Arabidopsis thaliana: one gene and its partner. The protein of the gene in region 1 interacts with the protein of each later gene in a pairwise test. Each region holds a gene or a part of one and is shown in the gene's direction. Other genes may lie near its edges.

The links.
Region 2: the proteins of MYB90 (region 1) and SPA2 interact in a two-hybrid assay, tested with the Arabidopsis thaliana proteins (one study listed by BioGRID).

Annotation. Positions count from the first base shown.
Region 1 is NC_003070.9:24,761,870-24,765,798, forward strand, and holds MYB90 (myb domain protein 90), read left to right. Parts: upstream 1-2,071; 5' UTR 2,072-2,182; coding exon 2,183-2,303; intron 2,304-2,820; coding exon 2,821-2,950; intron 2,951-3,032; coding exon 3,033-3,531; 3' UTR 3,532-3,672; downstream 3,673-3,929. UniProt on the Arabidopsis thaliana protein: Transcription activator, when associated with BHLH12/MYC1, EGL3, or GL3. Promotes the synthesis of phenylpropanoid-derived compounds such as anthocyanins.
Region 2 is NC_003075.7:6,769,865-6,773,793, forward strand, and holds the start of SPA2 (SPA1-related 2), read left to right. Parts: upstream 1-1,740; 5' UTR 1,741-2,040; intron 2,041-2,295; 5' UTR 2,296-2,298; coding exon 2,299-3,765; intron 3,766-3,929. Other genes in the region: AT4G11100 (gelsolin protein), read left to right, coding at 1-112.

The DNA of each region.
Region 1 (3,929 bases):
AATTTTCCAAAATTGTAATAAATATTATATCAAATCAAAACTTTTACAATAAAAAGCCTATTTTTCGAATTTAAGAATACTAATATATGTGACTGTACTAAACTCATTTAAGATGCACGTTATGGTTATGTTGCACATTAAATTCAACTTCCTAAGTTTGATCTGCATTCTTTATAAATTGGGGGGGGGGGTAAACTTGTAGAAAACATTTTTGAAGGATTTTTTTTTTTTTTTTTTTTTTTTTTTTGCATAAAACTCATTTTTCACAGTGAAATCTGCACCACCAAAAGGCAAAAGTTATATATAATTTGCAATGTTAAGGATAGATTACTGTTATTTTTTCTGTATTCATGTCAAAGAAATATGTGCATCATCAAAAATATTTAATCATAGAAAATAATTAAATAATTAAATCAGATGATAAATGTAATCAAATAATATATATTTTTCTTATAAATTTTACGTCCACGCATAGCATTGATTAGAACCTAGTACTATGTGGAAAGTTGTAACTTTTAGTTATTTGGTTTAGCTTGTATGTTACATTGAGAGTTACATATATAGTAGTAACAACTAGTGGAGACCAAAAGAGGTCGACGATGTCGAGACAAAAAAGAATGTGAAAAAGTATAAAATAGAAATGAAAAAAGATTGGCAGATGAAAGGGAGTATCAAATTATTGTGGGAATTGAAGTCGCTTCTATCGGATAACTACACGACTAGGTATTGCTTATGCAAATAAGCTATCTATCACGGCACATGAGTAGCCCAAGATGTTTTACTTCAAGCAGGCTAAGCGATTTATACGCTACATTAAATGGACCACAAGCTTGGGGTTGTATTTCAAATCCAGAAATGAATTGGGCTGGAAGCATGGAAGATATTAGAAGCACAATGGCTATGTGTTTCATGCTTGGAAAATTTGTTCTCTTTGCAACCACGGAAGCAATCGATCATTGCATATTGACATGAAATGTGGATATCAAACATGCACGCTCTTCTTGTACATATATAATAGCTCACATACTCTCATTGTCAAATGTCTTTCAAGGATTTGTGTAAGCCATAGTATGTATACCCTCTTCATCAGCAATTTACTTATAAGTTTTTAAATAATTTGGTTGTGATACTTTTAGTGATTATCTTTGGTTCATGGAGGCTTCTTCGTCCACTGAGTTGAAGAAAGGTACATGGGATGGTGAAGAAGATAGTCTCTGAGGCAGTGCATTGATAAGTATGGAGAAGGCAAATGGCATCAAGTTCCTTTAAGAGCTGGTATATATACTATTGTTGTAAACTATTGAGTCACTTATATTGATTAGACACAAGTTTATATTCCTCACACACAAATCTAATTTATTTACATAATGTAATTATCCAATACAACTTGTTCCAATGCAAGCTTAGATGGTCACCGATTGCCGGTAGATTGCCTGGTCGGATCGCTAATAATGTCAAGAATTACCGGAACACCCATCTCAACAAGAAAGAAGAACCGTGTTGTAAGAGCAGAATGAGAAAGAGGGAAACTACATGTTCAGCTACGTCACCGATCCAAAGACTCAATGTTATAAAGCCTCGAACTCAATTCTATAACGGCCGGCTCAACGGGCAGCCAGAAGTTAGCTCTTTCAAAGTAAGCATTAACAAATATGGTGGTATCAGATTCACATGTAACAATGATAAGACGAAATATGAGTTTGTGAACATTATTTGCAAAATTTTCAGTAAAGAAAAATACTCCAAAAGTTTTTGTAAGAAGGTGCACCCTATTTTTTTTATTTTGTTCTATTTCTCGTGCATGAAATAACTCTTCCTTGTAATCATGAACCCTCTGAGACCAATCATTACTAGTCCTTTCTCCTAATTTTGATAAGAAACGTGTAATTTGTTTTTCTTAAGTACTGGAAAAGGTGCTATGAACTTTTTCTCTAGTCAAATCAAACAATAACTTAGTAAATTAAGCAGAACCGCAAATACATGAAATGTGGATATCAAACATGCACGTCATTTTCCTATGCCCTTCACGTGTATATATATACCTATTCGCTCACATGCTCACATTATCAATAAGTCCTCCCAGGATTTGGGAAGCCACAATAACCCCCTATTCCTCGGCCTTTTTTAAAAAAGTTTTAGAATAATCCGATAAAATACTTTTATATTAATTTTTCTTTGGTCCATGGAGGGTTCGTCCAAAGGGTTGAGGAAAGGTGCATGGACTGCTGAAGAAGATAGTCTCTTGAGGCTATGTATTGATAAGTATGGAGAAGGCAAATGGCATCAAGTTCCTTTGAGAGCTGGTATGTTACACACACAGATATATTCATGACTAAGAATATTCTCTTCTCTATATATAATATTCGGAAATCTTTATTTTACTTTTCTTTTTGTTTTAAGGAGCAAATTATTGATTCATATGCTAGTGTATGGTAAAACAAAAAAAAACAAAAAAAACAACTGGTTATTCAGAATAATTCTTTATGCAGTTTATTTAAACGAAGAGTTTTATATAAATAAAAAAGTTATACTATTTTTTATTTACGTAGCATATATATATATATATATATATATATATATATATATATAGCTTATTCTTCACAAACAAGGAAGATGCTAAGCTCATGTAAAGTTGTTAAACTATTTCACTGGGCTGTCTTCTGGTGAGTGAAGTCAGTGAAAATTTATGAACAAACGGTTACTGTGTTGAAACAGTTTAATCTTTCTATTGGTGTGCTTAGATTCTTCAAGATGAAACATAGAAAATGACCCAAAAGCCGTCTTGGTTGGTATAATTAATGTCAACTATTGGTTATGTAGGGCTAAATCGATGCAGAAAGAGTTGTAGACTAAGATGGTTGAACTATTTGAAGCCAAGTATCAAGAGAGGAAGACTTAGCAATGATGAAGTTGATCTTCTTCTTCGCCTTCATAAGCTTCTAGGAAATAGGTATTGTTTACTTTAATGGTTATTTCAAGAGCCATAAGTTCAACACTAATAACTTATATGTATATTATTTAACAATGTTTAGGTGGTCCTTGATTGCTGGTCGATTGCCTGGTCGGACCGCTAATGATGTCAAAAATTACTGGAACACCCATCTGAGTAAAAAACATGAGTCTTCGTGTTGTAAGTCTAAAATGAAAAAGAAAAACATTATTTCCCCTCCTACAACACCGGTCCAAAAAATCGGTGTTTTTAAGCCTCGACCTCGATCCTTCTCTGTTAACAATGGTTGCAGCCATCTCAATGGTCTGCCAGAAGTTGATTTAATTCCTTCATGCCTTGGACTCAAGAAAAATAATGTTTGTGAAAATAGTATCACATGTAACAAAGATGATGAGAAAGATGATTTTGTGAATAATCTAATGAATGGAGATAATATGTGGTTGGAGAATTTACTGGGGGAAAACCAAGAAGCTGATGCGATTGTTCCTGAAGCGACGACAGCTGAACATGGGGCCACTTTGGCGTTTGACGTTGAGCAACTTTGGAGTCTGTTTGATGGAGAGACTGTTGAACTTGATTAGTGTTTCTCACCGTTTGTTTAAGATTGTGGGTGGCTTTTCTTTCGTATTTTAGTAATGTATTTTTCTGTATGAAGTAAAGAATTTCAGCATTTTAAGAAAAATGGTTATGTTTCTACGTAATAAAAAAAAACGTTATTTATATTTTTCGCAAAGAAAATACAGTATTTTCCTAAATGCAGTATTTTCTAACTAAAGTTAAAGGTGATAATGTTTGTTAAAATATCACTCAACCTAACCATAGAAAATTCAAAAGCATAAGAAAGTTTTAACCATGAAAGATATGTCTTATGGCAAGTAGACATGGTGGAAGGTTGTATGGTAATGTGGTATTTCACAAGCATAAGAAAGTTATAATTAAGATCTGTTTGGTCTAACCGTTAAAATAATAGCTAGTTTAA
Region 2 (3,929 bases), on another chromosome or scaffold:
ATCTTCATCATCATCATCTTCAGACGGCGCTGAGATTGTGCTTAAGCTGCCTCGTAATTGGCCTGAATGGGCAATCCCGAAAGGTCCCGGGAAGGATTCCAACAAGCCTTAGAACATTTCAGATGCAACAGAGAGCCAAAAGAAGTAAATTTGAAGCTGCACTCTTAAGTTAAGCTAGTTATGGAAATCTTCTTACATATTGCTTTCTGTTTTTGTCAGGAGTTTATTTAACAATCTCTGGAACTACAACAAACTATTCTATCTACTATCAAATCAATTATTCATTCATGAGTATAATAATAGCTGAAACTTTCTGTGTTACAACAATTTCACCATAACTAAAATTGCATTTGCATTTGAATACTGCAAACGCAAATTGGCTTTGTATACGCATCTTGTTTATATATGGATTAGTTTTTTCTACATAATTAATGAAAGCTTTTGTAAACTAACTCTTGAGTACTAACTAATAAGAAAGTTCCGTGGCAAAATAATTTCCGAATCATCGGATAATCATCCATTTACGAGGTTAAGTTCCGGGAACTGCTGGTGTTAAGGTTCTGGAAGATCTCCGGAAGATTGGCATTAGTGAGTTTGATTCTCTTGCTGATCTGTTGTTTGCCATGCCATGAATATGTGCAACAGCTCTTCTCTGTGTAGTGTTCATCACACATGCTTCAAACTAAGCTTATGCAGCTCCTTCTCGACTAGCTTGTCGCTTGAGTTGTCTATGCCGCGGTATAGAGGTTTAAAGTCGTCATAAACCTGAATCTGACCCTTGAAATCAGCATTAGACAGTCCTTAAACTTTTAGAGCCAGCAAATATGAAAGACAATCCTGAAAAATGGATAATCATAAGACCACAAAAGTCTTTTGAAACCATTTAAGATCAGGAGCCAGTACACTATCCGTCTATCAGAATCTGGCAATAAATATTATCAGAAGCTTATTGATTATGAAGTTAATACATCTTAAATAGAATCAGTTAAGCGTTTTTTGTAAATCTAAATCACATGTGAAATTTCTTTATGTCACGTTTTCATTTGTGTAAAACAATATCTTTTGATTTATTAAGCAAATAATTTGCAGCTAAAGCTCTCAAGATTCAAATAAATTGAAATGTAAGTAGTGTAAGTAGTGATTTCTTATAGAAATAGTTGAAATCTAAAAGTATTAGGACACTGATGTAAGTATTGTTAAACTAAAGAGATCTATCAGGAAATCAAATCACTATAGTTTTTTTTTTTTTTTTAAATTCCTTGAGTTTATCAAACAAAAAAATGTAAATGTCCCTAGCAAGTACTGTAGGTTCATTTTTTTTGTTTCAAAAGAGTATGTTATTTCTTAAAAATCGCCAAAGATAGATAAGATTCGAAATTTGCATAAATGTGGCAATAAATATTATCAGAATCTTTTTATTGAATAATGAAGTTAATACACCTTAAATAGAGAATTAAGCGTTATTTAGATCTAAAACCACATGTGAAATTTCTTTATGTCACGTTTTTGTTTGTGTAAAACGATCTCTTTGAGTTAATTTGCAACTGAAAGCTCTCAGCATTTTACATTAATTGCAATATAAATAGTGATTTCTCATAGAATTAGTTCAAATCTTAAACTATTAGGACAGTTACGTAAACATTGTTAAACTAAAGGGACCAATATGGAAACACAAATCACTGTAGTTAATTTTTATTATTATCTTGAGTTTATCGTCTATCGTGTTCGAATTCTCTGTCGCTTACTTAAACACAGTCAAATTCATTTTCTGCCTTAGAAAAGATTTTTATCGAAAATCGACGTTTTTGAAAAAACTCAAATTATCGTCGTTTTGTTCTCAGATTTCTTCTGCTCTCTTCTTCTTCTCCTTCTTCTTCGTTCCACCGCCTCTGTTGCTTTATCTTCTTCTTCCTTCCTTCGATTGTTGATTACGTCGGTGGATCTTTGTTCTCCTCTGTGTTGTTTTCATTGCTAGATTTCGTCAATGATTGGCTTCTCACGATTCGATTTTTCCGGCTCCTGTTCTTAATTTCCTCTGAGGTAGATTAGTAAAACTCTTTGTCTCGTAAACATTGTTCGATGATGAAATTAGAAAGTTCTCACTCTTGTTTGCCAAATTTGGGATATTTCTGGAATTGAAAATGAATCGTCATTTTTTTCAATTTCTGAGGATTTTGTTACAATTGTTTTTTATTTATGTTAGAATTGAGATTGTGTGATGAATATCAGTAACCCTAGACAATTGTGAAATCAAAGCTATGAAAATCTTTTGATGCTATGTTTCCTATGATACAGAGAATGATGGATGAGGGATCAGTAGGGGATGTGAGTAGGATTGATGAAGCTGATGTTGCTCACCTTCAATTCAAGAATAGTGAGCAGTCGTTTAAACCGGAGAACATTGAAGTCCGGGAAGTAAAAGAAGTGCAGGTTCAGAGAGAAGCTGGTTCTCCTGATTGTTCTTATGGTGTAATAGCAGATTTTTTAGATGGTAAGAATGGTGGTGACCATGTGGAGCTTATAGGGAATGAACCATGTTCTAGCCGGCAGAATACAAATGATGAGGGGGATGTTGTCGAGGAGTTGACTGTTAAAACTTGTGAGGGATCGAGTATGGCTATAGTTGGTAGACCAAGTAGTAGAGCTAGATTAGAGATGAATCGCAGTCAGTTTCTGCATCGTTTTCCGCTAGACGGTGATTTACCGGGTAGTAGTTCTATGAGTAAGAAGGTAATTGACAGGGGAACAGTAAGTATCTTGAGAAATGCTGGGAAAATGTCTTTGCCTGAGACTTCAAATGGACAACTGGCTATTATTGCTGTTAATGGAGAAGCTAATGAACATTTGACAAATGTTGAACGAAATCCTGTACCTGTAGAGGCATTGTCTCATGAAGGCATCAAGACAAAGATGTTATCGCAGTCTGGGTTTTCTCAGTTTTTTGTTAGAAAAACATTGAAAGGGAAGGGAGTTACTTTCAGAGGCCCGCCAAACAATAGATCTAAAGCGAGGAATATGGATCAGCAAACTGTAGCTAGTTCTGGTAGCGCTTTAGTAATAGCTAATACTTCAGCAAAGATTTCTAGCAGCATCCCTTTGGCGGCTTATGATGGTTTGCCGTGCTTACCTTCCAATACCAGTAAACCATCTTCTTGTGCTAATCCTTCAGATACACATAGAGGTTGTGGAGGTGAAGGTTTAAGTCTGAGAGAATGGTTGAAGTCGGAGCGGCAGGAAGTTAATAAAGCAGAATGTATGTATATCTTTAGGCAGATCGTGGATCATGTGGACTGTTCTCATTCTCAAGGAGTTGTTTTATGTGACCTGCGACCATCTTCATTCAAAATTTTCAAGGAAAATGCAGTAAAGTATGTGGTTTCAGGTTCTCAACGAGAGTCTTTTGACAGCAACATGAACAAAGAGACTTTAAGTCAACTCGAAAACCCTCTGGTTAGAAGACGGTTAGGAGATACTTCTAGTCTCTCTATCCCTGCAAAGAAGCAGAAATCAAGTGGACCAAGCTCTAGACAGTGGCCTATGTTTCAACGAGCTGGTGGCGTCAATATCCAAACTGAAAATAATGATGGCGCGATACAGGAGTTTCATTTCAGATCTAGTCAACCTCATTGTAGTACAGTTGCCTGCCCTTTTACTTCAGTGAGTGAGCAGTTGGAAGAGAAATGGTATGCGAGCCCTGAGGAGCTCAGGGGTGACATGCGTTCAGCCTCTTCAAACATCTATAGTTTGGGTATTCTTCTTTATGAGGTATGCCATCTTAATTGTAGCTTTTGACCTGCAATTGTAAGTATGTACATCCATGAGTTGAAATGTGAATCTGCAAGCCCTTAATGTTGACACACATATATATGTTTTCCCGTGGGATTATGTCTTTAACTGGGACATATCGTGTGTGGGTCATGTTTGGGTCC